Schizosaccharomyces pombe: one gene and its partners. Changing the gene in region 4 together with the main gene of any one other region gives a genetic interaction. Each region holds a gene or a part of one and is shown on either strand. Other genes may lie near its edges.

Region 1 (9,029 bases), 3.0 Mb from region 4:
GGGCGAGTCAAAGGATGAAGCAATATTGGATTTTCTCTTGGTTCAAAGAGGCAAGTGTACCTATTTTGATAAAGCATTGGAAGCCCAAAGGCTCGGATTTAAAGGGGTTATAGTTGGTGACAATCGATCACCTTCCTCATTTCGCTTACATTATATGGTTGCCCCCGATAAAGTGGACGAGTCAAAAGTTCATATTCCATCATTGTTTGTCTCTACTAGTTCTTATAATTTGTTATGGTCTGACTTACTGCATTCATATCGTCAGCCACTGAAATTATATGCAAAACCGGAGGAACTGGGTGATATGTTTTGGCCCTTCCTACTTTGCTTCTCTCCTTCCATTATTATGTTAATTACTGTGCAAGCCTTAGCCATTCGTAAATTTATTCGTACATATCGAACAAAATCTAAAACCAGACGATTTATTGAAGATCTCCCTTCTCGTACAATTTCTCGTGAAGGTTTTTACAGTGAAGAGGAAGAAATTGAGAATTCAACCCAAAATGGAGAACTTGTCCCTCTTATGGATGAGTCTACTCGCCGAGCGACTTTTGGTGTCGAATGTGTCATTTGTTTGGAGTCCTTTACGAAGGGAGACAAGGTTGTTGCTTTACCCTGTAAACATGAGTTCCATCGTCCATGTATTGCGAAATGGATCGTTGATTATCGACATGCTTGTCCAACCTGTAATACCGAAGTTCCACCACCCAAGCCATTCTAATCCTTGAAGATACACCTAATGTCCTACTTTGACTTATTCGTGCCACATTTTCCTATTTCCCGTTTCAGCCATGTATATTTGCTAACGACCCATGTTTTCATACAAGCTTTATTTGTTTATACTATATTTTAGTTTCTGTATTACTTTAATGATGTTACCCTTCTTTGTTTTATTCGTTTGTTCGGTGGTTGGATATTACGGATCAAAATGACTTAATATTAACTGCTTAAGTTTTTATGCATTTAATCCAGATTGTTGCTCAAATTTGTTAATTTATCGACACTTTTTATGAAAAAAGCTTTTGCATGCCATTGACGTTAAGGATAGTTAAAAAAGTTCATATTTTAACTCTCATTACTATTTACTTGTCCTTTGTTGTTCCATTTTGGCTCAATATTAAATTTTAGTATTTCCAAAATGTAAGAAATGCCTGTATTGTACTTACTAAATTATATAATTCAAGTAAAAATGAAAGTATCCATGCAGAATCTACACGATCTATGCAATTCCTCCAACTACCAACTCAACAGAGCTGTCACTCTCACCCCGAGCTATTACTTTAATTGTAATACCTTCGCCATCTTTTGAGTGAGCCATCTTCACCAATGCAAGTACCTTTTCTCCGTTAACAAGTTTACCGGAGAGTTTCATAACATGCACTGGCTTGTCAGTAGGATTCTCTGTGCCCTCGAGAGGTTGCATTTGAAGTAACTCAGCTACTCGTGAGCATGTGCTTCTAAACGAATCTAGCAGACTGAGTACGTAAACTTCAGAAGCTTCATGTTCAAGACTATCAAAAAGACCATCAAAGTTCGATTCGTATGCAGGAGAAATAAAATCACCGGCCGAGACATCCAAGTCATCAATTTTGTACTCATCTTCGTAACCCTCTTCTTCTGGTTCACCAGTATGGATGTCGATTTCTTTCGTAGTAAATTGAAGAGTGTTAGTAAGGGTAGTAAGAGGGTAAGGAACCGAGTCATTAAATTTAAAACTGACAAAGATAGAAACTGGTTCTCCTGAAACGATGGCAGCTGGGACGACACATTCTTCCACAAGGTCGTCAGTAGAAGGAGTAGAAACCACGACAGCATTTTCTAGGATAACTTCGGACAGAGTGTTATGAAGTTGAAACTAAAAGCATTAGTAATCAGCTGTAATTATAAAATTAAATATCAACAAAGAATACTTACCTGAACCACAAGATGGTCTTTGAACACATGCTTAACGACCTTAACAACAAATTCAGTTTCCTGCTCAGTGAGCTCAATAGGTGACGGCGATGATTTCAGTACTGGGCCATATTCATTAAATTCTGAAACGGATTCTAATGCGTTTAAAAACTCGGTTTCAATGTTAGAACTGGCAAGAGCATTTTGGTCCTCAGCAGGAGTAACCTCTGTAAACTCTACCTCTGTCGTGGCCTTTTTGATTCTCAAATTCTCAGCATCAATCTCTTCTTGAGATAGTACGGGCACAGATTTGATATCAAAGCCTTGTCCGAACTTCCTTTCAGAAATATATATAACAAGGCTACGCTCTAAAGCAGGTAATGAGGGAATTTTATCAGATTTAACCACTGGCAAAAATGCATCTCTATCCTCAAGCGCCTTTACACTAAAAGCAGCACGATCACGAACCTCGTCATCAGCATCTTCCAAACACCTTGTGAGAATAACCTTAACACTCCGTTGGACAAATTTATCTTCCGCATTCAATCCAAATTTGGTCAAAGCGCTAACGGCAGCGGAACGTACGATGGCATTCTCAAGCATAATCCGATTGTAAATATAGCGGATAAATCTCGTTGGTTCTGAGGCTTTAGGACCTTCTTCGCCGAGAATAGATAAAATCCGTACCGCAATCTTAGGATATTCACAATCCTCTATAAATTCACATAACTCGGCAAGGGCTCGTTCTTTAGATTCCGGAATGTATTTAATCATGTCAGAAATAGCATCAACGGCAGCACGTTTAAATTCATAACCACCTTCATCGCAAAGTATATTACTAAGAAAGGTAAGCATTGAATCTTGCTTGCGAGGAAATTTTAGACATAAAGAACGAATGGCATCAACGACGATAATTTTGAAATTATCTGAAATATCGGACATAAAGGTAACAATCTGTTTCATCAAACGGTCGACAGACTCATCATTACCAGTCTTTAGAAGTGTTGTGATAGCGTAGGTGGCAATGGAGCGATTCACGTCGGTAATTAAAGACTCGATATTAAGATTGCAGGAATGTACTAAGTGTGGACGTGTCATGGCTAACTCGTTAAGCGTACGAATAGCTGAAAATCGGGTAGCGGATCGGTGAGACGACAAGAAAATTTTAAGAACGCTAACCACAGGTTGCAAGTCATCATCTGAGATATTTTTGAGACGGACCATATTTCTAGCAACTTCTAAGTTTACCATGTCTCCTTTACTTTTTAACCACCCATGTAGAAATGGAACCATCTGGTCTCTAAATTGAGTGTTTTGATCCATTAGACTAGAAATGTAGCGGATAAGCATAACAAATGCATGAGAATTTGAGACTGTTCCTAAATTGCTTACAAGCAGCTGCAATAACTTATTCATTGCAATCGAATCATGTCTTCGAATACGGTACAGAAGACCTAAAGCATGATATTGAGAAATGCCGCTGGCATTTGGTGTGTAACCCAAGGTAGAGGTGAAAAAAGGAGAGCTAGCAACTTTTCTACCAACATTATGAGATGTGACCGCGTCTTGAACCTCGTTGTTCCAACGCGATACAATGTCTTTCGCAACAGGATATAAATGATATGCGGAAACAAGAGCAGCGCTGGCAACAGCTGATATGGGGTCAACAATACCCGTAGTTAAAATGCGTTCAATCGCAGGGACAGTGTTAGCATCAATGACACGAATCAAAGAGCGAATAGCATTAGGACGGTATATAGTTTCACGTCCCGTAGCGGTGTCTTTCATGATACTACTGGTAATCATAATCACATCTTCAGCAACAACGGAAAGCTCCTTGATAATAATATAAACAAATTGGCGAAGACTAGGGTCTTTGTGTTGGAAAAGTTTAGTAATACCAAAAAAGAGTTCTGTAGCTTGCTTTTCCTGGAAATGCTCTCCCGTATATATCAAGTAGGCGATTTTGCTAAGAAGACGTCTACTCTTTCTAGGGCTTATGGAAGATGAATTAAAAGCCCTAGCATCTTGAGTTACTGTGACTTGATTGACATTGGCAAATATCGATTCGTCTATTGTTAAAAGGTCAGCTCATAATTCCAAACAATCAACATACCACCATCATCATCTTTTTTAGAATAACTCATCTTCTTTACAAAAGTCTCTTGTATTTAGCAGAAATACAGATATAGAGAACTAAATGAACGTACTGGATGTATGTAGTAGATAAATAATTAGCTAGTAGGAGGTTTCGATTATTACCAAAGTATAACGTGTTGTGTATTTTATATTTCTTAAGTGGATTACTGAAGTATTTTACGAGCGTTAAACAGTATAACGAAATATGCCCATAAAACACTGCAAAAGTTCGTAACTTACATGGTTTAATTGCTTTGACATTTCTCCTATATCACTTGCGTAATTCGTATATACATACAGAGTCATCTTAATTTTCTCTTATTTTTTTTTGTTTTGTTAATTAAGTTTCCCTTGAGTTCCTGATTTACCGACCTTTTGTACATAGGGAAGAGTTCTTGAAATGTTGTATTTGATTTTGAGCTATGCGACATGAATGATAGAATTAGTGAAGTATCTGGTAGCTCAAGGGCTCGTAGATCAGTCTTAAGCTATGGAACAACCGAGACCGGAAGCGATAGATACACAGAGAACAGCAACATTGCTACAGAGAATGGTGTCGATACAGCGAGTTCAATGATAGATGGGATACAGTCCGGATTCCCGCAACCTAGACATGGTTTTGAAGAAGAGTACAACAATGCTGAATATATAAACATGTTAGAGCAGGTCTTTTACATGTATTACACTGATAAACGGCATCGGGGGGTGATCAGCAAAAAGAATGCCGAACCTACTGAAACAATTCATGATTGGAGAATGCGCGAACGGCTTAAAACTGTTTCTGCAGCATTGTTAGTTTGCTTAAACATAGGGGTGGATCCTCCTGATGTTATAAAGCCTAATCCTGCAGCGAAATATGAATGTTGGATTGATCCGTTTTCATTACCTGCTTCTAAAGCACTTGAAGCCATTGGCAAGAACTTGCAGCAACAATATGAAACATTAAGTATGAGAACAAGATATAGGCATTACCTTGATCCCGCAATTGAAGAAGTCAAAAAACTTTGCATTGGTCAAAGACGAAACGCTAAAGAGGAACGGATCCTTTTTCATTATAATGGTCATGGTGTCCCAATGCCTACTGCCTCTGGTGAAATCTGGGTTTTCAATAAAAATTATACTCAATACATTCCTGTATCGCTTTATGACTTACAATCTTGGCTTGGAGCGCCTTGTATATATGTTTACGATTGTAGCGCAGCTGGGAATATCATAGTGAATTTTAATCGTTTTGCCGAGCAGAGAGACAAAGAAGCTCTCCGTATTGCTAAGCAAAATCCCAATGTGCTCGCTATGCCTTCTCATACTAGTTGTATTCAACTTGCTGCTTGTGGGCCTAAAGAAACCCTTCCGATGAACCCAGATCTGCCAGCTGATTTGTTTACTTCTTGCCTTACCTCCCCAATTGAAATTTCGGTTCGTTGGTATGTCTTGCAAAACCCGTTTCCTAATAAGCTTAATTTGAATATGCTTCTTAAAATTCCCGGTCGCTTGCAAGATCGGCGTACTCCATTAGGCGAATTAAACTGGATATTTACTGCTATTACAGATACGATTGCTTGGAATGTCTTTCCAAAGCATCTTTTCAGAAGATTATTTAGGCAAGATCTTATGGTAGCAGCACTGTTTCGTAACTTTCTATTAGCGGAACGTATAATGCTCGTTCATTCCTGTCATCCTCAGTCCAGTCCTGAACTCCCCCCTACCCACGATCATCCTATGTGGAATTCTTGGGATTTGGCCATTGATAATTGTCTATCTCAGTTACCTGATATGCTTGATGCTGAAAGCAAAGGCATAGCCTACGAGTACAAGCATTCGACATTTTTTAGTGAGCAATTAACTGCCTTTGAGGTATGGCTCTCTCAAGGACTAATTAGCAGAAAGCCACCGGATCAATTACCGCTAGTTTTGCAGGTATTACTTTCACAAGTTCATCGATTGCGTGCACTAATTCTTCTCTCAAAATTTCTGGATCTCGGGGTGTGGGCGGTAGATTTAGCGCTCTCTATTGGTATATTTCCTTACGTTTTGAAACTTCTCCAGTCTCCAGCTATTGAGTTAAAGCCTGTGTTGGTATTTATTTGGGCGAGAATCCTTGCTGTAGATGATTCTTGTCAAGCTGACTTACTAAAAGACAATGGCTATGGATATTTTGTCCAAATTTTGAACCCTAATTCTTCCATTTTTCCTTCAAGTAATATTTCCGAACACCGAGCAATGTGTGCGTTCATCCTCAGTGTTTTTTGTCGTGGGTTCCCACAAGGCCAGCTAGCTTGTTTAAACCCACAGGTTTTATCACATTGTCTTTCCCATTTAAATAGTCCCGACTCTTTATTAAGACAATGGGCTTGCCTATGTATTTCTCAGCTTTGGGAAAATTACTCTGAAGCTAAATGGTCTGGAACTCGTGATAATGCACATGTAAAATTAGCTGAAATCATCGTTGACTCCGTTCCTGAAGTTCGTGCATCAGTTTTAACAGCGTTTACCACTTTTTTGGGATTTCCTGAGAAGACCGAAGAAGTCGTTGCTGTTGAAACTTATATTGCAATTGCGGCGTTAGCAGCTCTTTCTGATGCGTCACCATTAGTTCGACATGAACTAGTGATATTCCTTTCTCACTTTGTAGTGAATTATAAGAAGCAATTAATGGTAGTTGCGTATGAGAGCAGTTTAGCAGATATCCTTGAGAAAAAGAACCACAATTCTATCAGTGCTTCGACAATTTACGAAACAGTTTGGCAAGCTGTTTTGGTTTTGGCTGCAGATCCAAGCATCGAAATTTCTCTTGCAGCTGAAGCCATAATAAATTACGTTTATCAGAGTATGCTAAATTCTGAATTAAGAGAATCATTTTTAGCATTTCTTCTGCAACACTTACCTGCTCTCCATAAAGCTTCTCTTTCCAAAGATACCGATACTAATTCAGTTACGAGCGACCCGAAGCCACATCCCTTCGTTCCTTCTGTTTCAGAAAACAAAATCTTGAACAGGTCATTCTCTCTGACTAGATCGTTGAAAGGCTTGGCTTTAAGCCTGGCAGGAAGTGATCGCGCTTCTGAATTACTTTCCTTAAATGGAGAAAACAAACCTGCAGAGTCTAATTTAAATCACTTAACTTCCGCCAAAGTTCCTGGTCCACCTGCATTTAATGAACTTGAATACCAATCCGAGCTAGACATGCCGCTTACAAGTTACTTATTTGATTGGTCTCGTAAGTATTTTACCGAACCCCAAATGCGGCCGAACGAAGACGATGAACCTGGAAGTATTTGCTATAATCAACGTTTGTGGAGAAGAAACAGAAACGAAAAACTTATTTATCGTACTCGTCCCCTTGCTGAATACTCAACCAACGGTCGTTGGAATCAACAACTTATGACATTTAATAATACTATCGCTCCTAGGAAGCTTATGTTTCACCAATTTGAAGATCAGTTAATTACATTAGGTGACAAAGATATCATTCAGGTATGGGACTGGCGTCGCAATCGTTGCCTCAATTCTTTCAAAACTTCAGCAAGTGCGACAACTAACGTGACCGACATGCAATTACTAAATGAAGATGATGTTGCTTTATTGATGACTGGGTCTTCTGATGGCACAATTAAACTGTATCGTGACTACGAAAATGAAAAGGTTGAACTGGTAACTTCGTGGAATTCTCTAAGTGATCTTGTCTTTGGAGATCGAAATGCTAGCCTTTTAATGAGTTGGCAACAGAACTGTGGGCACTTGCTTGTTGCTGGAGACGTACGCGTTATTCGAATATGGGATGCTTCTAAAGAAATCTGCTATGCAAACCTACCAGTAAGAAGCAGTAATAGTATTACAAGTTTAACTAGCGATTTGGTCGGTTGTAATATTATAGTTGCTGGATTTTCAGATGGAGTTCTTCGTGTTTACGACAAACGATTGCCTGCAAGAGATTCACTAACGGATGTTTGGAAAGAACATTCGTCCGAGATCGTCAATGTTGAAATGCAATCCTCCGGAATGCGAGAATTGATTTCGGCGAGTTCAGATGGTGAAGTTAAGCTATGGGATATTAGGATGAATCATTCTTTACAGACTTTTTCAACAGACAACTCTGGACTCACCTCTTTAACTGTGCATAGTCACGCCCCAGTTTATGCAACCGGTTCCTCAAATCAAAGCATAAAAATTTGGGACACGTTAGGCCAGAATATTAATACCTTCCGTGAAAATCCACGGTTCCTTAATCAGCCTAAACCATCCAGTTTAATGTGCCTGAAGTTTCACCCGCATCATTTATTACTTGCATGTGGTGATAACACAGATAGTAGAGTTAATCTATACTCTTGCACCAAAAACGAGATTCATACGGATTCGCCGAACGAGTTTTAAACCATGTTTTCCTATAGTTTTAACATAATTTATTATTGATTACTTTACCTGATTAGACTTTTCTTTCTATTAGCAACACTTAATTTGGTTATTATACATATTTTGCTAAACCTGCCACTTTGCTTAGTCTTCTCCTTTGCCGTGTAACTCTGCTATAGATATTTGTAAAACCAATTTTTAATATGGTTTTGAAGAAGTTTAAAAAATCACTAATTTACAATTAAGATATTACATTCATCGAAAAATTGAATCTTTTATATACATTTTATGAAAAAGCTAGTAATTATCAATGTTTTTTAATGTCAAGAAAAAAAAGCTTTTTTTAACTTAAAAAATAATTAATAATATACTAATATACCAATTTATTTATTTATTCACAATTTCATGTTTTCGCATTGTACTATTACTTTCTTATATTCGGGTCGTAAATTCTGATGCAGCTGAAGCTAACGAAAACTCTCCCATTCAGCGAAAATTTTATAATGGCAGATTCCGAAGAATACAAGACTGTCATTGGAATTTCTTTTGGAAATCAAAACAGTTCTATTGCTTTTAATAGGGTAAGAAAATTTTTTTACTTGGAGAAATGAGTAATCTCCTAGTTCATTCGCATAGACTTGCTTTAT
Region 2 (6,266 bases), on a different chromosome or scaffold from region 4:
CCAGTTCCCTACCAGTAAACATCACTGTAAGGTAAATGATGCCAATAATCTGGGGAATTAAAGAAAACAACCCCAAAGTGCTTCTCCACATGTCATCAATGTGGTAGAAAAAGTGAGAAAATATAGTAATAAAAGCAAGGTTCGCAAATGATTTAGGTCCTTTTTCCTCCGAAACATTAGAAGCAGCGACAAACTCGGAAATGTAAGGATAGACTTCTTCAGAGTCTTCAGGAGTTACAATGCTTCTTTTCCTCATAGTAAGTTCTTTGAAATTTCTTTTTTCGGGGAACAAGGACTTTCCATGTAAATAATCAACCGTTCCATCAATGGCTGAAACTAATGGACTAACAAAGTATGTTGATAAGAAGTTGGAAGGTCTTGTAGATTCTTCTAGCTCAGTCTTTTCTTCTTTCTCATCTTTAAAATATTTCAAAACAAGAGCGTCAAAATCCCCCCATCTCATTTGCAAGTGCCTGCCAGGAAAACTGATGGTTTCCAGTTTCCCCTGGTTAACTAAATCCTTCAAGCCAAGGCTTTCGTAAAGAACAAAATCTTCCATTTCAATGTTTTCTCCTGTCGTTTCATTAATCCAACCAAATCCAGTCGAATATGGTGGCTCTACAATATCGTCACGTTCAAACGACACGGCAACCAAATTGTCCAACTCTTTCAACTTTTCGATATTTCTAGTGTAGTTGTCATGTAGTACTTCGTTGTTTAAATGAGTCAAAAACTTGTTGTTTTCCAAATACTTGTCATATTGCTTCTCCGTGCGGTAGTACTGTGCTTGCACGACGTGATTTTGTATCCATGAATGCCATATACCCAGTCCAAGAATTGAATGAACAACAGCCTTACAAATCAAATTAGTAGGAGAGCAACCTGGTATTGTATTGATTCCTGAATGCGGAGAACCCAATGTAATAAGTGAGCGAATTTTTGCCGCATCGCATGTCTGGGCTAAAGCTCTCAAAAACAATCCTCCTTGGCTTAATCCAAGCGCATAAAATCCGTTGGAAAGGGAATCTTCATTTCCTATCAAATCACAGACTTCATCCAATTGATCCTCTAGCTTACCTAAGTAGCCAGCTTTTATGTCTTCAAATTCGTTGTCACCGACGCGGATAGCATATACCGCACCTTTAGTTAGTTTCTGAACACGCTGGCTAACCTCTGTAAGAGTAAAACTAGTGGGAGTATCGCCCAAGCCATGCCAAATCACCACAGGTAATTGTTCAGAAGCTCCGTCATTAATAGCTAGTCGGACCTTATCCAAACTAATAATTGGTATTGCAAAACTTTTCATAGGTAAAAGAACCCAAGAGAATAGAAAAAAGATTAAAAATGAGCTACAGCTCAACATGGCGAAAATAAAGAGTGTTGAATACGGTTCAGAAAATTACCCAAGGAATTGATGAGTTACGTATTATCTAAGCTTTTATCTAAGCGAAAGTTTAAAGTTGTAATATATAAGTATGTATTAGACAATTGAAGTGTGAGATCAATTACAAAAATTGAAACAGAACTTTGCACAGGTATTTTTCAAGATGAAATTTGTATACTTCATCTACTTTTTGGATATTTTTAAATTCTCAAAAGGCAGTGTCTGGATTTGCAGAAATTGTGAACGATCTTTTTATCTGAAATGTTTGGAATAGAAAATAACCCTAAGAGATTAAAAAAATGCATATGACAACACTCAAATGGTTCAATTCTATGATTTATTTATTATTAAAATTACCATCCTAAAATTGAATCCTGGTATCACCATAAAATTATTCAGTTGTGGGCCTTTCTCATGTACTAAGCATGGTAAATTATCATTAATAAAGAAGTGAAAATACATATCTTCTTGTGCAGCAGAATTTAAATTATAATGAACGTAAAAATTGCTGAAATAATGAAGCAATGTATAGTATAAATAATTAAAAGATATTATCATCCTATATCTACTAGTTTAATAAGAAAAAAAATAAGAGAGTTTCACTTTAAAAGATTGAAAGGAAAGCTTTCAGGAAATGTTTGGCGTTTATAATCGCAAAAATTAATTAGTTAATAAGAATATGCAAAATGATAGAATTATTAGGAAAATATGAATTTATTAGATGTTTAATGTTTTCTTATGATAGCTCAATTTGACGAAATGTCTGTTTCATTAGACAAAAAAAAATGCAAAAAATATTTTAATTAACAGACAAATTGGCGTGAAGGTCATAGCGTCTCTATTCCTTACTTAAATAACTAATTTACTAAAATCATGTTGTAGTGTAGGAGTTCGCTACTTTCAGAAATTAAACGACGAACACTCCGAAGGTTAAACAATCATTTTATTTTAGAAATGAGTAATTTCATAACTCTTTTACAATAGCACGCAGGACTGTCATAATTTACAAATTCAATAACTGCGAACATTTCCATGATAATTTCGAGCTGCAATTGCTGAATTAAAATTATTTTATTTTAATTGATTTACAGTATACAACATGATAAAATGCGTTACTTAAAAGGAATCGCTTAACTTCAGCATACTTGCACCTTGCAGGTAAAGCCAGGCCTTCACAAACCCAGCACCATTTTAGCTGCTAAAATGGCAGAAAATGAGAATCATGTACTTTCAATACGAATGTCACACCCATACTATTCAGAAAAAGAAATAAGTCGAATTTTGTCGACGCGAGATCCCAAAGAAAATAATTTGCGAATGCAGGCGTTCGCTTGGATATCAACACTTTCAAAAACTTTAAAATTGTATGCTTTTCCTCAAAATTATCTAGAATCTAACTTTTTTTTAGCCCTGTAAGGACCAGCGGCCTTGCAATGCTTTTATACAGTCGTTTCCAACTATTTTTTCCCGTGAATGAAATTCCTTTGCTGGTATGTTATTTGGATGTCTTTCGCACATGAGTATGCTGTGCTATTTGAAATTTTACGTATTCTGATATAAGAATATTCTGAATGCTGTACATTGGTCATACTATTAAAAAAGACTACAGTTTTTAATAATGTTAGCTCAGCTACTCCAAGTTATAAACATCATATTCTCTTGATTTAGGCTCTTTTTCTTTCAAAAATAACTAACACATTTAGGAGTGCGCTACTGCTTGCTTAGTAGTTGCTAGTAAAATCGAAGATACGGCCAAAAAGTTTCGTGATATTCTTTTAGCACATTATCTTCAAAAGCATCCAGGTTCTGAGGTCGATGCTCATTCACAAGTATGTTACAAGGTGCGCAATAATTGTTTTTTGTTTATAAGGAGACTTGCTTACAGGTGTATTAGCTAATCGAAGAGAACAAGAAGAGGATTCTAGGTTTAGAAAGAATGACACTGGAATTGATTTGTTTCGATTTTCGAGTCCGACATCCACACAATTACATGGTAAAATTTGCAAAATCACTGAAATGTATGACTGCTATTCATTTTACCTTATAATTTTCGAGTTAACTAATTTACTTTCAGTTTCATCTTCCACGGCAAGTATAGCTTGGAATGTCTGCACTGATGCTTATAAAACATACACAATGTTAAAATATCCAGCCCATATTGTTGCCGTCGCATCGATTTCTATTGCTTGCAAGTTACAGCAACTTCCTCAACCTATAATTCCCAGATCGTTCTTCGCTCCACCAGCACTAACGGAAGCAGTGATTGCGGATATACTCGATCTATATATGCATTATCAGCCTCACACTTGCATTGGTAATATGTATACAACGGAAAAATTACTTGGATTATGTGTTGACTTCCAACGAGCCCAAAAAAACTCTGGCCGTCCTCAAAAACCACCCCAAATTGACCCTCATTCTTCTTCTTTAGCAGATGAATACCGTGAGTCAAATAAGAGACTTCAAGAATCCAAAGAAAGTTGTGCCAGATTTATTTTAGACTGCGATAGAAAGTATTTTAATACCGAATTTGAAAAACGAATGCTGGAAGAAAGGAGAAATAAAGGTACGGTTTAATCTAATGGTTCCTTAATGAGTTATCTTACCATCGGTTTGTTCCTTCTTTCGACAGCATTCTGAACAGTATATTAATATGTGACATTACAAGTTACCAATTTCCAATTAACTTCCTTTTGAATGACAAAACTTTATTTTATGCGTTTTCTAAACATAATATGATTTAAAAAGCAGCTGACCTAAACCCTGCTATATCTTAAATATTCATTAAGTAAAAGGAAATTTCGTTCAAATTTCAGTGCAGTAAATGTTGATCAAAAGAAGGAATCGTGATAATCATACGTAACCCATTTCAGAGTGAAAGGTGTCATGCTTTTTTAAAGCAATCACGCTAATGGTGGGAAATTAAAAAAGGGACGATATCGCAAAAAAAAACTATATATAAAAAAAAATCATTTACTAGCGCTTCAAAACCAATATCAAGGTAAACACTAACGAATTTCAGTAGCCCATCCGGGTACATCTTCACCGGTTGCTCCAGTAGTCTCGATTTTGAACGTAGGATCAGCCACTTCGCGCAACCATGGAGAATTGCTCATGTAACCAGCATTGGTTCGCTTGGCAGGATCAAAACATAACATAGGAGATAAAAAGTCTGATATTTGTTGAGCCAACTCGGCTGAAAAATGGTATTTTTGCTCCAAAACATCTTTTAAAGGCCAAAACTTCAATTTATGAATATTTCGGAGTTCACCGCGACGGTTAAATAAATCGCGGGAGTGCTTTCCTGAAAGTGCCATTTGCTTAGGATAATTAACCAATAACTCAATAATTTGGGCAATGTGGTCATCCTCCTTAGAATAAGAATTCCCATTCCGTGGATCGAAAAGGTAATCGCCGGTTAGCAATTCAAAAATGATACAGGCAAAACTCCAGCAATCAGCGGAAGCTCCCCAGCGACATCCTAGAATTACTTCTGGAGACCTATACTGACGGGTTTGCACATCGTTGGTGAAATGCTTCCGTGTCCAGCACGCGTTACCGAGATCGGCAATTTTAACAGTGATTTTTGGAACGGGTTCCTGAGAACCGTTAACACCATCAAGTATAAGAGAATTATCTCCACTAGAAAACGGAGAATTAGGATGAGAATTATGCTTTTGAGAGTCACGAAGGCTGATTTCTGAAACAGCACCTTCTAATGAAGGAAAGCGGCTCAAAGTGGAAGTAAAAGGACTGCTAGGAATGACCTGGCCAGCAGGCTTAGAATTCTTAGTTGGATTTTTTGCAAATGTCTTGCGTTCTTGGGCAGAGTTATCTACAGATTGGCCACGTTTAATAATTGGAGCTTTGGCTGTATAACCAGTGTTATTTCTTGTTTTTGAAGAAGAGGTATTAGAAGTGGGGGAGGAAGTTGTTGCAGGTGCCTCAATATGTTGCAAGGCATCCTGATCAATGCATATTAAAACATTTTCGGGTTTAAGATCAGTATGAATGATCCCGCATTCTCGATGCAAGTAATCCAGAGCGATGAGTAATTGGTAGGCAATTTGCTTTACAATACCCACAGGTACTCCTCGATGGCCGTATGACTGTATCAAACTTAAAAGATTCTCACCGAGAACTTCGAATACCATACAGACATGAGCTCCATTAGGACCACGATGCACAAAATAATCGAGCAAAGAAATGATATGCTTTTTGCCCAAATGCTTTTCGTCCCCTTCTCTAATTTTCTGCAAAATGCGAATTTCATCAATTGAGGTCTCTCGATAGTGCTCTGCTGAACGCACCACCTTCAAAGCTACTCTCCGTTTGGCAGCTCGATCATATGCAAGCCAAACCGTTGAAAAATGTCCCCAGCCTAATTTTCTTTCAACGACATATCGACGGTGATGAAATTCTTCACCAATGTAGACTGGGTGGTATCCACCATAGTGATAGTCCTCTGCATTTTCTTCGTGCGTTTTTACCTTTTCCACCATGCTTTTTCCGTCTACTTCAGCATTGACCTTTTTATTAACATTTTTTCCATTCGTGATCACCTTTTCACTGACATGGTCAACTATTTCAGTGTGTCCCGGTTGTGACACTTTCGGTGACAAACTCGACCCGTCACTTCCCATTTCAAAATGGCTGGCTGCCCCGTATGAAGAAACTACTGATATGTCCCTCCAGCTCTTAAATTAAAATATCTGAGATATGTGAATACACCAATTCCTTCGTTGTTGTTGTTGTTTGTTCTGGTTATAAATACGGTATGGAGTAGTATTTTTAGTGCGAAAATCAACACGGGGAAACACCGTGGAGTCTTAGCACACTACCGAGGAAACTTTGCGCATTAGGAAGAGCGTTTCGATATAGT
Region 3 (6,383 bases), on a different chromosome or scaffold from region 4:
TTGGATTGGGTTCACGCAAATATCCATTTACAGGACGGTCCCGCTAGTCCTGTAACTGCTCCAGCTGCTCAACCTGTTGAGTCCTCAGTACCCCTTCCCTTGCCCAAGCGGAAGAGCTCTGTGGAAAAAAGAGCAGGATCGGTAGCGTCTGCCGTAGCAGCAATGTCTTTGTCTCAAAACTCTGGAGAAAAGAGGACACCCGAGGAACCTCGTAAGCTGCCTGGAGTGCCTGCCCCACAGAAGCAAAGCGAGGCTTCAAGTGTCAATTCATCTACCGAGAAGCTTCCCCCTCCTCCCAGCTATCCTGGACCCAATACTGCCCATAAGAACGTTGAGCGGGTTTTGGCGATGTACGACTTTCCTGGCCCTGATGCTGGTGATTTAGGTTTCCATGCTGGCGAAGTTATCATTGTACTTGAGCATGTCAATAACGATTGGTGGCGTGGTGAATTGAATGGAAAGGAAGGAATCTTCCCTTCTAACTATGTGCGTTTGTTGGAAGATTCTGCCGTTAAAGCTCAACCTCCTCCTCCTCCACCACAGCAAAACTATCCCCCAGCAGCATCTTCTTCGGCACCTCCCATGCAGTATCAGCAAACAGCATATCCACCTCAGCAAGCACCATATCCACCTGTCCAAGCCTATCCTCAGGCGCCTCAACAACCCATCGTGGTTGCACAACCGACCGAGCACAAGCACTCATCAACATTCAAGAAGATTGGTAGTGGTTTGGGTTCTGCATTTGTATTCGGTGCTGGTGCAACTGCTGGCGCTGATCTCGTCAATTCCATTTTTTAAATGCGAGTTCGTTTCTTTCCTTTTTCTATGCTTTTTTTCTTCCTTTATATAAGTAAAACTTTCTGTGTGGTTGAACTAGCACCTGTGTTTGTTATCGTTGGTGCGCAGTTGTTTTTTATTTTGAAATTTCCAAGTAGAAATTTCCGTATATCGCGAATGCATTTCCCTTGTTCATGTTTACTCCTTTGGTCTTTTGTCTTTTTCTCGACTATGCTTTATGCTTATAAAGCAACACCGCGGCATAGCTGCTTCTTCATAGATTGAGACACCTCATTTATGTGTATGAATTCGATATCCAAACATTGTTGCATATTCTTTATGATTATCGATGCGTACTATTAAATACGCATGTCTCTTGACTTTTGTTTATTTTTAGTGTTTTTCTTTTTACGACTTTCATACCGTTTATATTTTAATTCCATAATAAAAAAAATAAATTACAAAGCAAAAATATGATTAATAGGGAACGAATGACAGTGTATTAGATTTGTTAATATGCTATGGTAAATTGTTCTATTGCTTAACGTATATTAAAGCAAAAAATAGTAAACGGATGAGGAAGTATAAATTAGGTAGCCTTTGTTAGAGATTTAATTACGATGTCCGGTCAGAATCGTTTCCATTAAGCAATAAAAAAGAATCGACGTGGAAATCCCATGAATGTAAAGACTCACATTATTAAAATGGGAAGATAAAGTAAAAACTGGAGACAGCGAATGTCCAACAAAAATGGAAGATGTATGAATAATGATGAATCAAATTCGGTAACACGTTGATGGGGATTCCAAGAGAAAGTAGCAGAATTTCAAAAAAAAAAGAGAACGACAATAAAAATGAACCTTTGTTTAAAAATAAAAGAAGTCAACACACAATAAAGAATAATGAGACTATGAACAGAAATGAAACTCAAGGGAGAATTGTTATAAAAAGCGTCTGAAAGCACTGGGGAATGAATGAAAGGACTAAATTTGTTTTAATTTTTTTTCTTTTTTGTTGTAAAAATGGAAAACATGAAAATAAGTATGCAAGTTCAAATATAATAGCTGTATAGTTAGGATGAAAATTTCCTATAACAGCGGTTTAATTAATAAAAATTAATGCTCGAAAGAGAATTTCTTTCAATTTTTATGTGGTGTTCATATTCCCCTTCGGCATTAGTCATTCAGGATCGAAGAAAATTAAGCTAATTTAAGCAGTTGCTTAGCGAGAGGTGTTGTTTACACGGTCGGTGATGTCAAAAGTCTCGTTAGGTCGAGGAACATGAAATAGGTCCAGGATGGTTAGTTCGTTAGTGAGGTCTGAGGGAGAAAGAACTCTTTGGACAGGCTTAATCCTATAAACCTTTTCAGTCTGAATATTTTCTTTATTTTCATGTTCAATGCGTTGTGCAGGGGTTCGGCGAACACGTTTAGTGCGTTTCATGGGAACGCTATGTACCGATCCAGCTTTGGTAGAACGGCCGCGTTTGCTTGTAGAGCTGATGAAAGTGGTACCGGCATGGTCAACAGTTTTGGTGTTAGTGTTAGTACTGGAGCTTCCAGTACTAGTTCTGGGAGAAGTTGAGCGTCTTGCCGTATTGGTGCGATTTGGTAAAGCAGAAGCGCTGCTTGCTGGGTGACGGCTGTTGGAGGTGTTTTGAGAGCTCATTGTTAGAAGTAGAAAGTGATTGTAAAAGTAGAATATAGTTTGATGTGAATTAGATAATAGAAAGAATAAGAGGATAAGAAAATGGATGCAGAAATGAGCGACTAAGCACTCATACTTATACTAACGCAGCACATTTCTTTCAAACCCATGGCTCACGGAGGTTTTTCAATTTCGTGTAAAGTATTTGATATTTGCAAATGAAACAAAAAAAACTATTAAACAAATAAAAGATTATTTTTTTGTATACAATCACAGTACAGAAAGTGAAAATGCAAAATTTAGAAAATGATAGTAAAGACCAAATGAGAAGTAAGAAACAAGTATATTTTATGTTTTCAAATGAACTACTACTATTATATTTTCTACTCTTCATTTCCAGCTTTTAATGCTTGCGAAGTGGCATGCTACGCGGCGCGACACGCTTTTCATTTAGAGAGCAGCGTAAACAAATCAAACTCGTGTTAAGTTTCGATATCATTCGTTAGATTTCCTTAAAAAATAACTCAGGCTAAACAACATTGAATTGAATAACGCAAAAAACAGTATTACAGTAATGTGTTTTTAGAGATTGCTACATTCCACAATGCAAGCTTACCACTTTGCTTTCGTGCTCGCTCAATCATTGCATGAAAGGTAGATATATCCAGCTAGGTGTTCTTCGTATTTGCGAGTAGAGTAATTAGCAGTGCACATTTATAGTATGCAAGTTAACGATTTCTTTAGTACTTCTCTATTGACGATCATGCGTTCATCTAACAGAATGGGCACATTCCAAATGTAATAGTGAACAGGAAACTTAAATTACTATACTATACTTGACATTTTACACATCGTTTTTAGAATCAAGCAACGGGATTAAAAGAGAAATCAATTCATTGTCAACTATAATTTATAACATTAGCAAACAATATCTGGACGAGCAAAGAATGGGATCCCAGACACGATTGTATGCTGTATAAACTGGGCTTCAAAAGATCGTAAAAGGTATCAGATACCACATAAAGTCAATTATAAAAAGATTAGGGAATGCCTTTGGTACCTAATCTTTTTTAGCATAGCCAACACACTCCGTAACGTCGACAGCGTCTTTGCGGTGTTTATTGCGAATGACACCCTCAAATTCTTTAGTTTCAGTCTTATATATCAAATCCCATCTGCCGATGAAATCGAATCCATTGACATTGCGAACCTTGGCTTGATATCCTCTACGTTCTTCAGGACTCATATTAACATATTTATGATATTCAGGAGCACCAGGTGTTATAATATTATCGGCCACTAGAAGGGTTCCCGGAGCAATCATATTAAGTGATTCAATAACCCTCAAGTCAGGCACATAAAGGTCCTTCCAGTGGTCGATAAATACCATGTCCAAAGCTTGAAAACCAAGGTCTTTATGCAATAATTTCTGTTGCAGTTCGACCAAACTGTCGCAAGCCTTGCCAATCATGATGGTGACTATTTCATCCAGACCGGCCAACTTAACCAACTCGTAAGCAATCTTGGCATAATCCTCATTCACTTCCAAGCTGTAATAACGACCACCAGGAATTTTGGAGATTTCATTTCCAAACAAAATAGCTGAGTAGCCCAAATAGCCGCCTAACTCAACCATGATTTTCGGCTTCCGTTCACGAATTTTCCCAACGATAAATCCACCTTTAACATCTCCTATACACATTCTCACTCCAGATCCGTCTGGATACGTGAATTCATCGATTTCCTTAAGAACCAACTCAGGATGCCCGCGAATCGCATCCAAGCGCTCTTGAGGCAGATTTTGAATGTGTTGCAGAAACAGCTGTTCCTTTTCACTACCGTTGTCTTCCATATGAGGCATGATTTCAAATTTCGAAAGGTTGGTTAAAAGTTGATTTTCAGCTCTGCATACGCAATACCATGCACTTTATATAGTTACGAGGGATGGAATGTTGCTGAATTCGATGCACCTCGTATGTTGTCACTACGCCACGCATCTTTACAAACTACCCACCGTATCATAGGACATCTAGCACATCTAGAGACCGAGGCTCGGTGAGTCAAGACCCTTATGTTACAGCAGTACCTTTATACTTTGCGCCATATGGAAACTTTGGACTTTGAGGCAACAGAATAGCAGACTACACTGCGTTGCACTGAAGGAATTGTGAAATATATTGAAACAAAACAGTGTTTCTGTAAACATAGATCCGCAAGTATATGATTTTACACTATTTGATTTTGGGTGAAACATCAACGCAATTACAACGTATCGTTATAGTTTAATAACAGACTGTATTGAATAATCGATATTGTTCGTTATGTGATAAACATTTCGAGTGCAAATGTACCGGATCTAGAAACATCAGATTCATCTGTATGTACTGCATAAATTTATTTATAATTGTTCAGCTCTTTCTCCTATTGTTAAACTATTATTATTGTTATGAAGTACATGATTTTAATTCGCTAAATTCGATCCACACCGTCAAGTTTTTATGCGTTTGCAACTCAAAAACATGGTATTTCGCTACAAACTCAAATTGGTTCCGATCAACTGGTTATTTTTTATGTTTAAGAAAACATTTCATTTTACATTTCTTTCAACTTTCCTTTACCTACTAAAACTTCAACTTAAACAAGCTTATGATTTATCAAGTTTCTTGATTTTAAAAAAATGACCCCTAAGTGACTTGAACACTTGACTTTGAGATTTGGAATCTCACACTCTACCAACTGAGTTAAGGGGCCATGTATATTCTCTAAGCAAAATAAATAATATATAACAGTTAATTTAATAAATTTTTATTTTTCTTTTATGTTACAGGATACGAGAAGCGTTTTCATAAAAGTAAATATTCCATGAGTAAAGAAGAGTGAGAGGGTTAAAAAAAAAGCTCTTACAAAATATATATCTCAGTAATAATGAAATCAAAATTTTCGTTGATTTATACTCAACATCACAGCATAAAATAGCTCAATAGACGACGTTGTAAAGACAAATACAAAACTAGGAGTTGAATTGACTGGCTATTATGAGTTGTGTCTATAGCAGTATCACTTCGTATTGCATGTCAAGTATTATCATTTTCTTTTCAGCAAAAAGGCGCTACAAGGAATTTGTTTATTACTTAGTTTTGTTTAATAAATATTTTTAGCAAAACCTTAAAGACGTAGAGCCGTTTACTCTCTTCGTAACACGACTTTCCATTCGTGTTATTCTACTTTTACTTGCACAATATTTCACTTAATCGGCAGTGTTTACGTACCTTTTTAAAAATATATGCACAAACGCTCTTGGAATAATCCAACTGGACCCATTCGGTCTTATTAAACACAAAGAAAAATTTTGTACTATTCAAAAAATCATAAAAATTATCTAAATCAAATCATACTTTATCCTCGAACATAATACAGTTTGTTTTAAAGGCAGCTTGTATCCTCAATTTTACGATGCAACTTTACTAGCTACATTATCGCCATCCCCTACTATTTATTTAAAAAACCAAAACCAAAAAAAAAAAAAAAAAACTATACAATACATTGGAGAAAACAATTCGCAAAAGAGATGAATATTTAATATCAACACAGAAACAAACTCTAGATTGCGTATTTTCTAGTCCATTCACGAGCACTTAATTCATAACGGGATCTGTCAGTTTTGTAGACGTGCGCAATTTCAGGCACAAGCGGATCATCAGGATTAGGATCTGTCAACAATGAGCAGATAGACAGTAATACCTTTGATATAGTCAACGCTGGAGACCATTGGTCACGAAGGATATCCAAACAAATGCTACCGTTTGAATTGATGTTGGGATGATAGATTCTGGTTGTAAAGTTTACCTACGAATATGCTGTTAGTTATCATTAAAAAAAAAAGACTATCAATCAGATTCGTAATGCTACGCAATGTAATTGCCCTCGCTTCACTTGGATGGACGCAATCGTATAAAAAT
Region 4 (8,962 bases):
ACACTCCACATTCTTATACCACAAGCATTGCTTTCTAACGATGGCAAGGAGTTTTGTTCAACTACGCACACAAGATAGTAAATAAACAAGAAAATCGGTGAAATTTCCTAATCACTTGTCCAAACCTCTTCACTTACTGCTTAAATACAAAAGAGATTACAATTTTCATATTTAAACGGTTCTCTTTTAAAGAAGAACAAATCAATGATTGAAGTCATTGTCTCTTAGTACTCACGGGGGTTTTTTTTACTTTTGTATATTAAAACGTTTCGAGGTCATATGGATCCGTTTGCTGGTACTGGTCAGTCCAAAAGTTATCGAACTTTTGGAAACGTCTTTCAAAGACTCTCCATGTCTGGCAACCCAAAACCTCTCGCCAAGAAACCACTTCTACTCCCTGAAGCTTCAAAAGCCATTGAATTTTGGAATTATCGAGATGTTATAGGTGGTGAAGAGGCCGAGCAAGAAAGAAATGAAAGGGCAAGTAGAATTGCAATATCCAGAATTGCTTCCAGCAGAAGTTCTATTCCAGAATACAGGCAAGCTATTATGCAGCATCTGACAAAACATGTTCAACAACTTGACCAGTTGGCTGAATGGTGATTAATGAGTTTATGATATAAATTCTTATCCTTTCAAACACCACATCACTAAACACTAAATTAATTCAAAATATTAAGAATAATTTCTGGCAATCTGTGTCTCAAGATAGTTTTCCGCTACTACCCTCTTGGTTGCAGCTTTCAGTTATCCTTTGCAAGTGTATCAATAAATTCTGCCAGCTTTAAATCTTTTTCTGTAAGTCCCTTTGTATCGTGAGTTGTCAACGTAATATCCACTTTATTGTATACATTAGTCCATTCGGGATGATGATTTAGCTGTTGTGCACGCAATGCGACACAGCTCATAAATCCCCAAGCTTCAATGAAGTTTTTAAAACGAAAGCTTTTAAATAGTTTTGTATCTCCTTGTTGAAGAATCCAGTTGTTTTTTGATTTCGAGACTAACGCCAGTAATCTAGCTGATGTGTTCATTTTTTCAACCTTCTAAACCAACGTTTATTCCAGAAAAAATGTTTTTCTTCAAAATTTAGGTAAAATATCAATGTGATGTGTGTAGAACGTAACTGTTTTAATACACTCAATTTACCTCCTTTTACTTTGGTATGTGAAAGAGAACGAAATCATATCGTCTTGTCTTATTCACAACATCAAAAGAGTAAATTTAGCTACTACGCTAAAAGAACCTCTTCTACAGAGGAGCATTAGAATTATATTTGTTAATTGTATAAACAGTTTCCTAGTTTTATTTCCAAAATAAATAAAATATGCTTGGTTTGGTCTTGTAGCATTTTATCCATCAGTTTTTATGGGTAAATAGTCATTCGCTCTTTTTAATGTTAAAATATTTTATTCATGGAACACTTCCTAATTTTTAAAAGTTTATCGACTTGGCTTCAACACATAGTGCTTCTATAAGTAACAAACATGTTTTAAAACAAGATATCAATACCATTAACAATATCATTTTATACATGGATCAATCATCCATTTATTCGATAACTATAATCAAATAACCTCCTGTTTGCATAAGAGAAAAGGTGAGACTTAGCTTACGAGACATTTATGAATAAAAATAAAAATACTTGTAAACAGTTAGGTTTCACTGCAGCAACATTCCAAATATCAAATGGGACCTTCAAACACAAAATTATAAAAACCCAAGACCGCCTCTTTTCTCGAGAAGCATGAAGCATTGAAACCAAACTCAAAAGGTTTCTTTCACGTCACTTATCAAAAAAATTGTGGAATTCCTTTGCTGACTGACATTTTCAAGCTCTTCAACTTCCTTTCACCCCTTCTTGTGTTTCGCTTCCAAGATGTATAAAATGAAGGAATTGTCATGTTGATTTTTCATCCTTTAAGAACAAGATTCCTCTTAGGTTTCTGTTCTTTCCTCAAATTCTCAATTGACATTTGTTGGTGATATAAACAACCATAGAGATAGAAGCGGTTTCTCAGGCCTTCATTTTTTTTAAACCTCAAAATTTAACTTTTGAACAATTCGTCACGTACATCAAACATCATAAACGTTTACGAAACGCATTGTCCCAAAAATAGTAAACTGGCTAAGCAATAAAACAAAAAATACACATATGTTTCTTATAAGACCTTTAATAAGAAAGCCAAAAAATATTTACTCAGCAAAGCTTTAATCTAACCATTGTTCACTGACTCTCGCTTTACTGAAGCAACATCGCTAATGATCATTTTACGTTTAAAAAAAAATAGAGTGTATACGAAAGCAAAACAAAACAAACAAAACAGAACAAAACAAAAATAATGTAAACCCAAAGTATAATCAAAAACCATCATCAGCCTTAAAATCTCTTATACATGCATACAAATCTTTTGGAATAGAATAAATATATCGCTTTTACTCTTTTTTTGTTCTGAATTCCCAACCTCTTTTTAATTGCCAAAAGTTATTAATGCTTCCTTCTTACTTGTCTTCGAGCACTTCTACAACCGTGGTACACACATATTTACCGATTTATACGTGATACATTAAAATCGAATGCGGCGTTTACTAATGTTTATAAACAAAAACGTGAGGTTGTCTACATTTACCTTCTCCACTTTTGCGCATAAAGCATTGTTTTCAAATCACTCAATAAATGCGATCTAGTTTGATCGTTGGCTAATTGGATTTCAGTGGGGAATTTTAATTGCCGAACAGCTTTATAGTTTATGTGAAAAGAAAAGAAAGTGAGCAAGTTGCTAATATTAAATGATGTAGTTATCTTTCATGCCAGAGAACAATCTGGATGTCAAACGACCTCTGTGTAAAACGCGCAAATATAGGAGACGCATGCGCTGAATAAGGGTTGAAAGAAGAAACACTGTTAAAAGAGGGTTTTGCATTGGCGAAAAAAGATGTATGGAAAAAAGCACGCGTAAATAACAAAAGAAATCCTTACCGAATTATACAGCAAGGTGGAGATTACTACACTAATGAAGGCAAATAAAAAATGTGATTTCTTTGACTTGTCCATGTTTTTCGGGATGGATACAACGTTGTTTTTTATCTATCATCTTTTTCAAACTTTCAAAAGGACTAACTTACCTTTACAAGCTATACACTAATTACCACTGATTTGAATAAATAGCCTTTTGCTTCAGTAGACAAAGCAAACACCATAAAAGAAAATGCATTTAGCGTTTCTCGCTATTTACTCTATCTAACGCGAGTCGCGTTGGCTTTCAATCTGTCCAAATTGGATCAGTTGTCCCGCTTTTTATGGGATTTTTTTTCCATTATCGTCCTCTTATATTAGAGCTTACTGACATCGCATCATAACTTTAGATAGAGTAACGAAAGCCGACCGATTTCTTTGTTCCTATTTTAAAGTTTCTTTGTTTTACAAACCCTTCTCGAGCTAGCCCCTCAGGGGCATTGCAAAAACGTTCACAGTAAATGCCTAACAGTAAAGGCTACTGAAATTTTCATCGTAGGTCTATAAATTTCGTTGATTCCCTTTGTTTTCAACGCTTTGTTTTCGCCACTGAAAGCTGCTGTTGAGATTCTTTGTTTACTTGGCTTACTTCGTTTCTTTGTTACTCTTCCCACTTTGTGTTACACGGGACAAAGGCAGGGGTAGCATAAACAGTACGTCCCATTCAATCAAGCATTCTCCCAGTAATTGTCGTAATATTTGCGAGCAAATAAAGTCCTTTTTGACTTTGTGATTTCTTTGAAATAACTTCTTTGTTCTCTAATTACTGTATCTCATTATAAAGCATCCAAGCCCTCTCATTATTCCCAACATACAATCCATCCTTCCTCCAGCAATCCGGCCGGACAGATTGTTGTAATTATCTTTACAGAACTATTTTGGGCTGGCTTTTTGATTTGTACTGAAAAGCATCGCATTGCATTGCATCGTTTTTGTTTTGTTTCGCTGCTGCCATTTAGGCTGTCGTATATTTTGTTTGTCTGAAACTTAACGTTCCTTTGTAATAGAGAAAGCAAAAAATATATACCCCATTTTAAAAAAGGAAAGGGAAATTGCTTTTTTTTTTTTTTTTTTTTTTTTTACACCTCTAGTTAGTTGAAAAACCATATGGAAAAAACTTAAGTTTTTATACATCGTGCATTTACTTCTTTTCCATTACTCCATCCTTGCCAATTGTTTCTCTTACCGTTCGCATTTTCCATCTTAATAGGACACACAGCTGCCATCATCCGCGCCAATAAACCTATCGACCGTAACAAAACATTGATACGTTTATTTATCTAATTCATTTCTTTCCTTCTTAAAATCCCCACCCGCATCTTTGTTACCTTTGAACGCAGTTGCTACTTCTCTTTTCTTTGTTTGTTTGTTTATTAATTACTTGTGCCCACTCCGAGACCAACCATCGCTTTCCCATTCCTTGTTGAAAATAGCCCATAGTAGGCATTCGCAAAGAAAGTTCAAATTATATCTTTTACCACATTATCTACATTTTCTGGCTGTATTCTTGAATCCTCATTTTGATCTTTACCAATTTTTCTTGAATCGTTATTGTCATTCCCTGATATCTTTTTCTCTTCTTTGTCCTAGAATCGATTCCTTTCTTCCCCTTTTTTCGTGTGCTTCACTTTTTAATTCCTTTTTTTGCAACCTAACTGATACGTATATATACATTTATATATATACGATTCCAATCCATTTTCTCTTCATATACGCATATACATTTTTTCTTGTATATATGTGTAAAGTTTCTAATCGATTATTTTAAATTTTTACTTGCGCTTTTCTTCTGTGGTGACAATATCCCATCTTTTTCTTTTTTTTTTAAAAAAATTAAAGGGTAGTTTCCTAGTTTTATCCCGAAAATTTCTCCTCCTCTAACGTTTGTTATTCTTTTGTTAATTTTATGAAAGACAAGTTTGTTTGTTCAAATCTTGGTTGTTATTCTTTTCGTTTGATTATATACATTTGAACGACAATTGTGATTTATTGTTGATTTTTTCTTTTCATTTCATTATTCTTTTGTTCTTTTGCATTTTCTCATCGTTTGTTTGATTTACTAACAACCATCTAACCCCTTCCTTTCTTTTCAACTTTCTGGTCTTTTAAAGTTTGTATTAACTTAATCCTTTGCAGTTCCTTTCTCTCCCTTTCTTACCACTTCTAAACAAAGTTTTATAAGTTATTAGTCATTAAGTAATTTTTTTTACTCTTTATCTATTTTAAGGATTATCGGCCAGCTTTATTGTTGCCGTTTTAACACATAAATGATTATGGAAACCGAATCACCTTTATCAATCACCTCCCCTTCTCCATCTGATTCAACTTTTCAAGTTGATATGGAGAAAACAATGCATGCTTTGCCCTCAAGTCTTCTTGACTCACCATTACTCTCTACTAACGAGCATTACCCTCCCAAGAGTACTTTACTTTTGAGTGGTCCTTCACCCATCAGAAATATTCAACTATCTGCTACCAAATCTAGTGAATCAAACTCAATTGATTATCTTACGGATACTCAAAATATCTTCCCCAACTTTGTTAATAACGAAAACAACTATCAGTTTTCAACCGCTCCTTTAAATCCTATTGATGCTTGTCGAGTTGGTGAACGGAAAGTATTCACTACAGGTAATGTTTTATTGTCAGCTGATCGACAACCTCTTAGTACATGGCAACAAAACATTTCTGTTCTCTCAGAATCCCCTCCGCAAAATGGCATTCAAAGTTACATTTCAAGTTCTGAGCAAGCAGCTCAGGCACTAACTCGTAAACCATCTGTTACCGGATTTCGTTCTTCCTCGCTTAACTCTAATTCTGACGATATAGATATATTTTCTCATGCTTCTCGTTACTTGTTCGTTACTAACCTTCCTCGTATTGTTCCTTATGCTACTTTATTGGAGCTTTTTTCAAAACTTGGAGATGTGAAAGGAATTGATACATCTTCATTGTCTACGGATGGTATATGCATTGTTGCTTTTTTCGATATTAGGCAAGCAATACAGGCCGCTAAATCACTGCGATCTCAGAGATTTTTTAATGATAGATTACTGTATTTCCAATTCTGCCAAAGAAGCAGCATTCAAAAAATGATTAATCAAGGTGCTACTATTCAATTCCTTGACGATAATGAAGGTCAACTTCTCTTAAATATGCAGGGAGGTTCTGTTCTGAGCATCCTTCAACTGCAATCTATACTTCAGACGTTCGGTCCACTTCTTATTATGAAGCCTTTAAGAAGTCAAAATGTTTCACAAATTATTTGCGAATTCTATGATACAAGAGATGCATCTTTTGCATTAGATGAATTGGATGGAAGAATTATTCATAATTGCTGCCTTCAAGTCGCTTATTACGATGCAATGGCTGATTCAGTTAGCACCTCTTCGGCCTCTAGCCTCTCTGTTCCAAGAGGATTTAGTGGGATGTTAAATAACAATTCTGAATGGAACAACTCTATGACAATGTCTTCTAACCAAGAAACTCCCACTGCTGCTAGTTGTGCTGTTTCAAGAATTGGTTCGAGTTATGGAATGTCGAATAACTTTGGATCCGTTCCCTTAGGACGCACTGAATCATCTCCAGCTTGGGGAACAAGCGGATATTACGATGTCTCTTCAACTAGCCCTGTTGCTCCCAGTGATCGAAATCCTTCCAGGCAGTATAATTCGATAAGGTATGGTTTAGATGTAAATCCTATTGCACCGCCAAATTCCTCACGTCTTAAGCAAAGGAATAGTGATTTACTGAACGGAATTAATCCACAATGGTCACCTTTTTCCTCTAATACTGGTAAAGTCTTTGATTCACCAACAGGTTCTCTTGGTATGAGGAGAAGTTTAACTGTTGGTGCAAATGCATCATGTAGTAATCCTACAAATTTAAGTTTTGCCTCACTTACTCTACACGACTCAAAAGCAGATTCTACACTATCTGCTTCTTCTCTGAATCCGGACTTGAATCTCCAAAGATATACTCCTACTGTTGAAAAACATGCTTCAGATAGAAATTCTGTCGATTATGCACAAATTGCGTCTGGAATTGACACAAGAACCACGGTAATGATAAAAAATATCCCGAATAAATTTACCCAGCAAATGCTAAGGGATTACATTGATGTTACCAACAAGGGTACCTATGATTTTCTTTATTTACGGATAGATTTTGTTAATAAATGCAATGTAGGATATGCGTTTATAAACTTTATTGAACCTCAATCTATCATTACCTTTGGCAAAGCTAGAGTGGGTACTCAATGGAACGTCTTTCACTCTGAAAAAATATGCGATATCAGCTATGCTAATATTCAAGGCAAAGACAGGCTGATTGAAAAATTCCGAAACTCGTGTGTTATGGACGAGAACCCTGCTTACCGCCCGAAAATATTTGTAAGCCATGGACCTAATAGAGGAATGGAAGAGCCTTTCCCTGCTCCCAATAATGCACGTCGTAAACTAAGATCTATTGCTAGTGCCCAACAAATAGGCTTGTTTCCTCCAACTGCAAGCAAATGTTGATTACGAAAGAGATCCTGTATTGTTTATGTTTACCTATCGCTTTGCTTACCCTTTCTTTTCTATATTTTATTTTTGTTCAATTCCAAAGTATATTATGATTGCTCCAAAAACTTCGGATGTTTTACAAATTGCAAGAATTTGCCTGCTTGTGTAAATTATATTCACTTCAAATATATGATGTTAATTTATGTTTCCAAATGGGAACGTTTTACGAAAGTATACTTATTCGATTTAATTATTAATAATGATTGATCATTTTTTGTATACGAATTTTTATGCCATAAGTTTATTATGATCAATGACGGCTCAATGCTAAATTTATGATTGCCTCAAATTTTATGTGACAAAGATCTAGTTATAGTGAACGTGCTAAAATTAACTTGTATTTTGACAAGATGGTCAACTTCACTCTGAGTATCGATATGTTTTATTCAAAATACATACTCTTACTTGAGACCTGTTTAATAAATGCCACATTGAAAAAAATGTTTAATTTTATAATTTATGCAAATAACGAGTTAAGGACAATTAAATTCCCCTTAACACAACTATTTAATCAGATAATTTCAATTGTACTGCTAGAAAATCTTCTCTCTTAAGTAACATGCTACTAAAGTCACATAAGATAGCAGTTATCGTACAAAAATGTATCTCTTATTGAAATATACGAGCTTAAAATCAGCTAGCGTTGCTTTGCTGAGAGTATATCTTCTTGCTATTAATTCCTTGTATCATTTTGGACTTACAAATAAACTTGTTAAAAAACATTCACTGTTTATTGCTTGAAGAGTTTTCAAATCTTCTAAATGTTTTCGGATCAGGCCTTGTGGTGAATTTTTATTATTAATAATAGATTGGGTAATCTCGGTTTCAATTCCATCGAATATAAAATTATCTTCAATCAATTTATATGGGCAATTTCATAGTTTATGCTTAATTTTGCTATACTAATACGGTACACAAGCATTTGATATTGTGAGATAGCGATACATTCAGTTAAAGGGTTAATCCATCTAACAGGGTGCAGTAGAATAGAGTACGCTAAAGTGGCAGAATGTTAACACTAGAATATTGTGCCATACCCAGTCAATTACAATATCTAACAACTAATATTTCCAAGCACGTATAAGATTAAATAACATTATACGATTTAATCTATGGGTACTTTCTTTCTTGGTTATCAATCAAAATGCTGGGAAGATTAAAAGATCAATTGAACATGACACTGGCCCAAGGCCAGGAAGAAGCTAAGAATCGACGTAGGCAGTTTCAAGAAGAAGATCAATTAAGAAGAAATAATAAATCTTCTAATAAGCTCTCTCAAAATGAAGAGGACGCGAAAAATATGGACTCCGTCGTACAAAAATTGAATGAACTACAAAATAACGTTGTAGCGTTTCAAAAGCTTCTACAGGAGAAAACTCCG

What was found.
Region 1: of mei2 (region 4) and mip1, a mutation in one rescues a mutant of the other (synthetic rescue), as found in Schizosaccharomyces pombe (one study listed by BioGRID).
Region 2: of mei2 (region 4) and lsc1, a mutation in one rescues a mutant of the other (synthetic rescue), as found in Schizosaccharomyces pombe (one study listed by BioGRID).
Region 3: of mei2 (region 4) and mei3, a mutation in one rescues a mutant of the other (synthetic rescue), as found in Schizosaccharomyces pombe (one study listed by BioGRID).

Annotation. Positions count from the first base shown.
Region 1 is NC_003424.3:1,516,723-1,525,751, reverse strand, and holds mip1 (WD repeat-containing protein), read left to right. Parts: upstream 1-4,309; 5' UTR 4,310-4,461; coding exon 4,462-8,403; 3' UTR 8,404-8,529; downstream 8,530-9,029. Other genes in the region: rnf13 (RING finger protein), read left to right, coding at 1-721; coatomer gamma subunit Sec21, read right to left, coding at 1,220-1,855, 1,915-3,965, 4,010-4,040; ssz1 (putative heat shock protein Pdr13), read left to right, coding at 8,886-8,963. UniProt on the Schizosaccharomyces pombe protein: Component of TORC1, which regulates multiple cellular processes to control cell growth in response to environmental signals. Tor2 is essential for growth. Nutrient limitation and environmental stress signals cause inactivation of TORC1.
Region 2 is NC_003423.3:821,787-828,052, forward strand, and holds lsc1 (Lsk1 associated cyclin), read left to right. Parts: upstream 1-2,558; 5' UTR 2,559-2,587; coding exon 2,588-2,748; intron 2,749-2,792; coding exon 2,793-2,874; intron 2,875-3,018; exon of another isoform or gene 3,019-3,087; coding exon 3,088-3,213; exon of another isoform or gene 3,214-3,278; coding exon 3,279-3,402; exon of another isoform or gene 3,403-3,458; coding exon 3,459-3,961; 3' UTR 3,962-4,084; downstream 4,085-6,266. Other genes in the region: palmitoyl protein thioesterase/ dolichol pyrophosphate phosphatase fusion protein Pdf1, read right to left, coding at 1-1,363; SR protein-specific kinase Dsk1, read right to left, coding at 4,393-6,027.
Region 3 is NC_003423.3:715,868-722,250, reverse strand, and holds mei3 (protein Mei3), read right to left. Parts: upstream 2,533-6,383; 5' UTR 2,446-2,532; coding exon 1,999-2,445; 3' UTR 1,261-1,998; downstream 1-1,260. Other genes in the region: lsb1 (SH3 domain-containing protein), read left to right, coding at 1-798; cmt1 (catechol O-methyltransferase 1), read right to left, coding at 3,485-4,285; ubiquitin-conjugating enzyme Ubc4, read right to left, coding at 6,025-6,270. UniProt on the Schizosaccharomyces pombe protein: Acts as a critical meiotic inducer by binding non-covalently to protein kinase ran1/pat1 inhibiting its enzymatic activity. Inhibits ran1/pat1 by acting as a pseudosubstrate for ran1/pat1 instead of its natural substrate ste11.
Region 4 is NC_003424.3:4,509,614-4,518,575, reverse strand, and holds mei2 (RNA-binding protein Mei2), read left to right. Parts: upstream 1-3,550; 5' UTR 3,551-5,283; coding exon 5,284-7,536; 3' UTR 7,537-7,593; downstream 7,594-8,962. Other genes in the region: anaphase-promoting complex subunit Apc14, read left to right, coding at 280-603; omt2 (4-alpha-hydroxytetrahydrobiopterin dehydratase), read right to left, coding at 744-1,034; grp1 (GRIP domain-containing protein), read left to right, coding at 8,726-8,962. UniProt on the Schizosaccharomyces pombe protein: Crucial for commitment to meiosis but it is not sufficient itself for the commitment. May be a splicing regulator.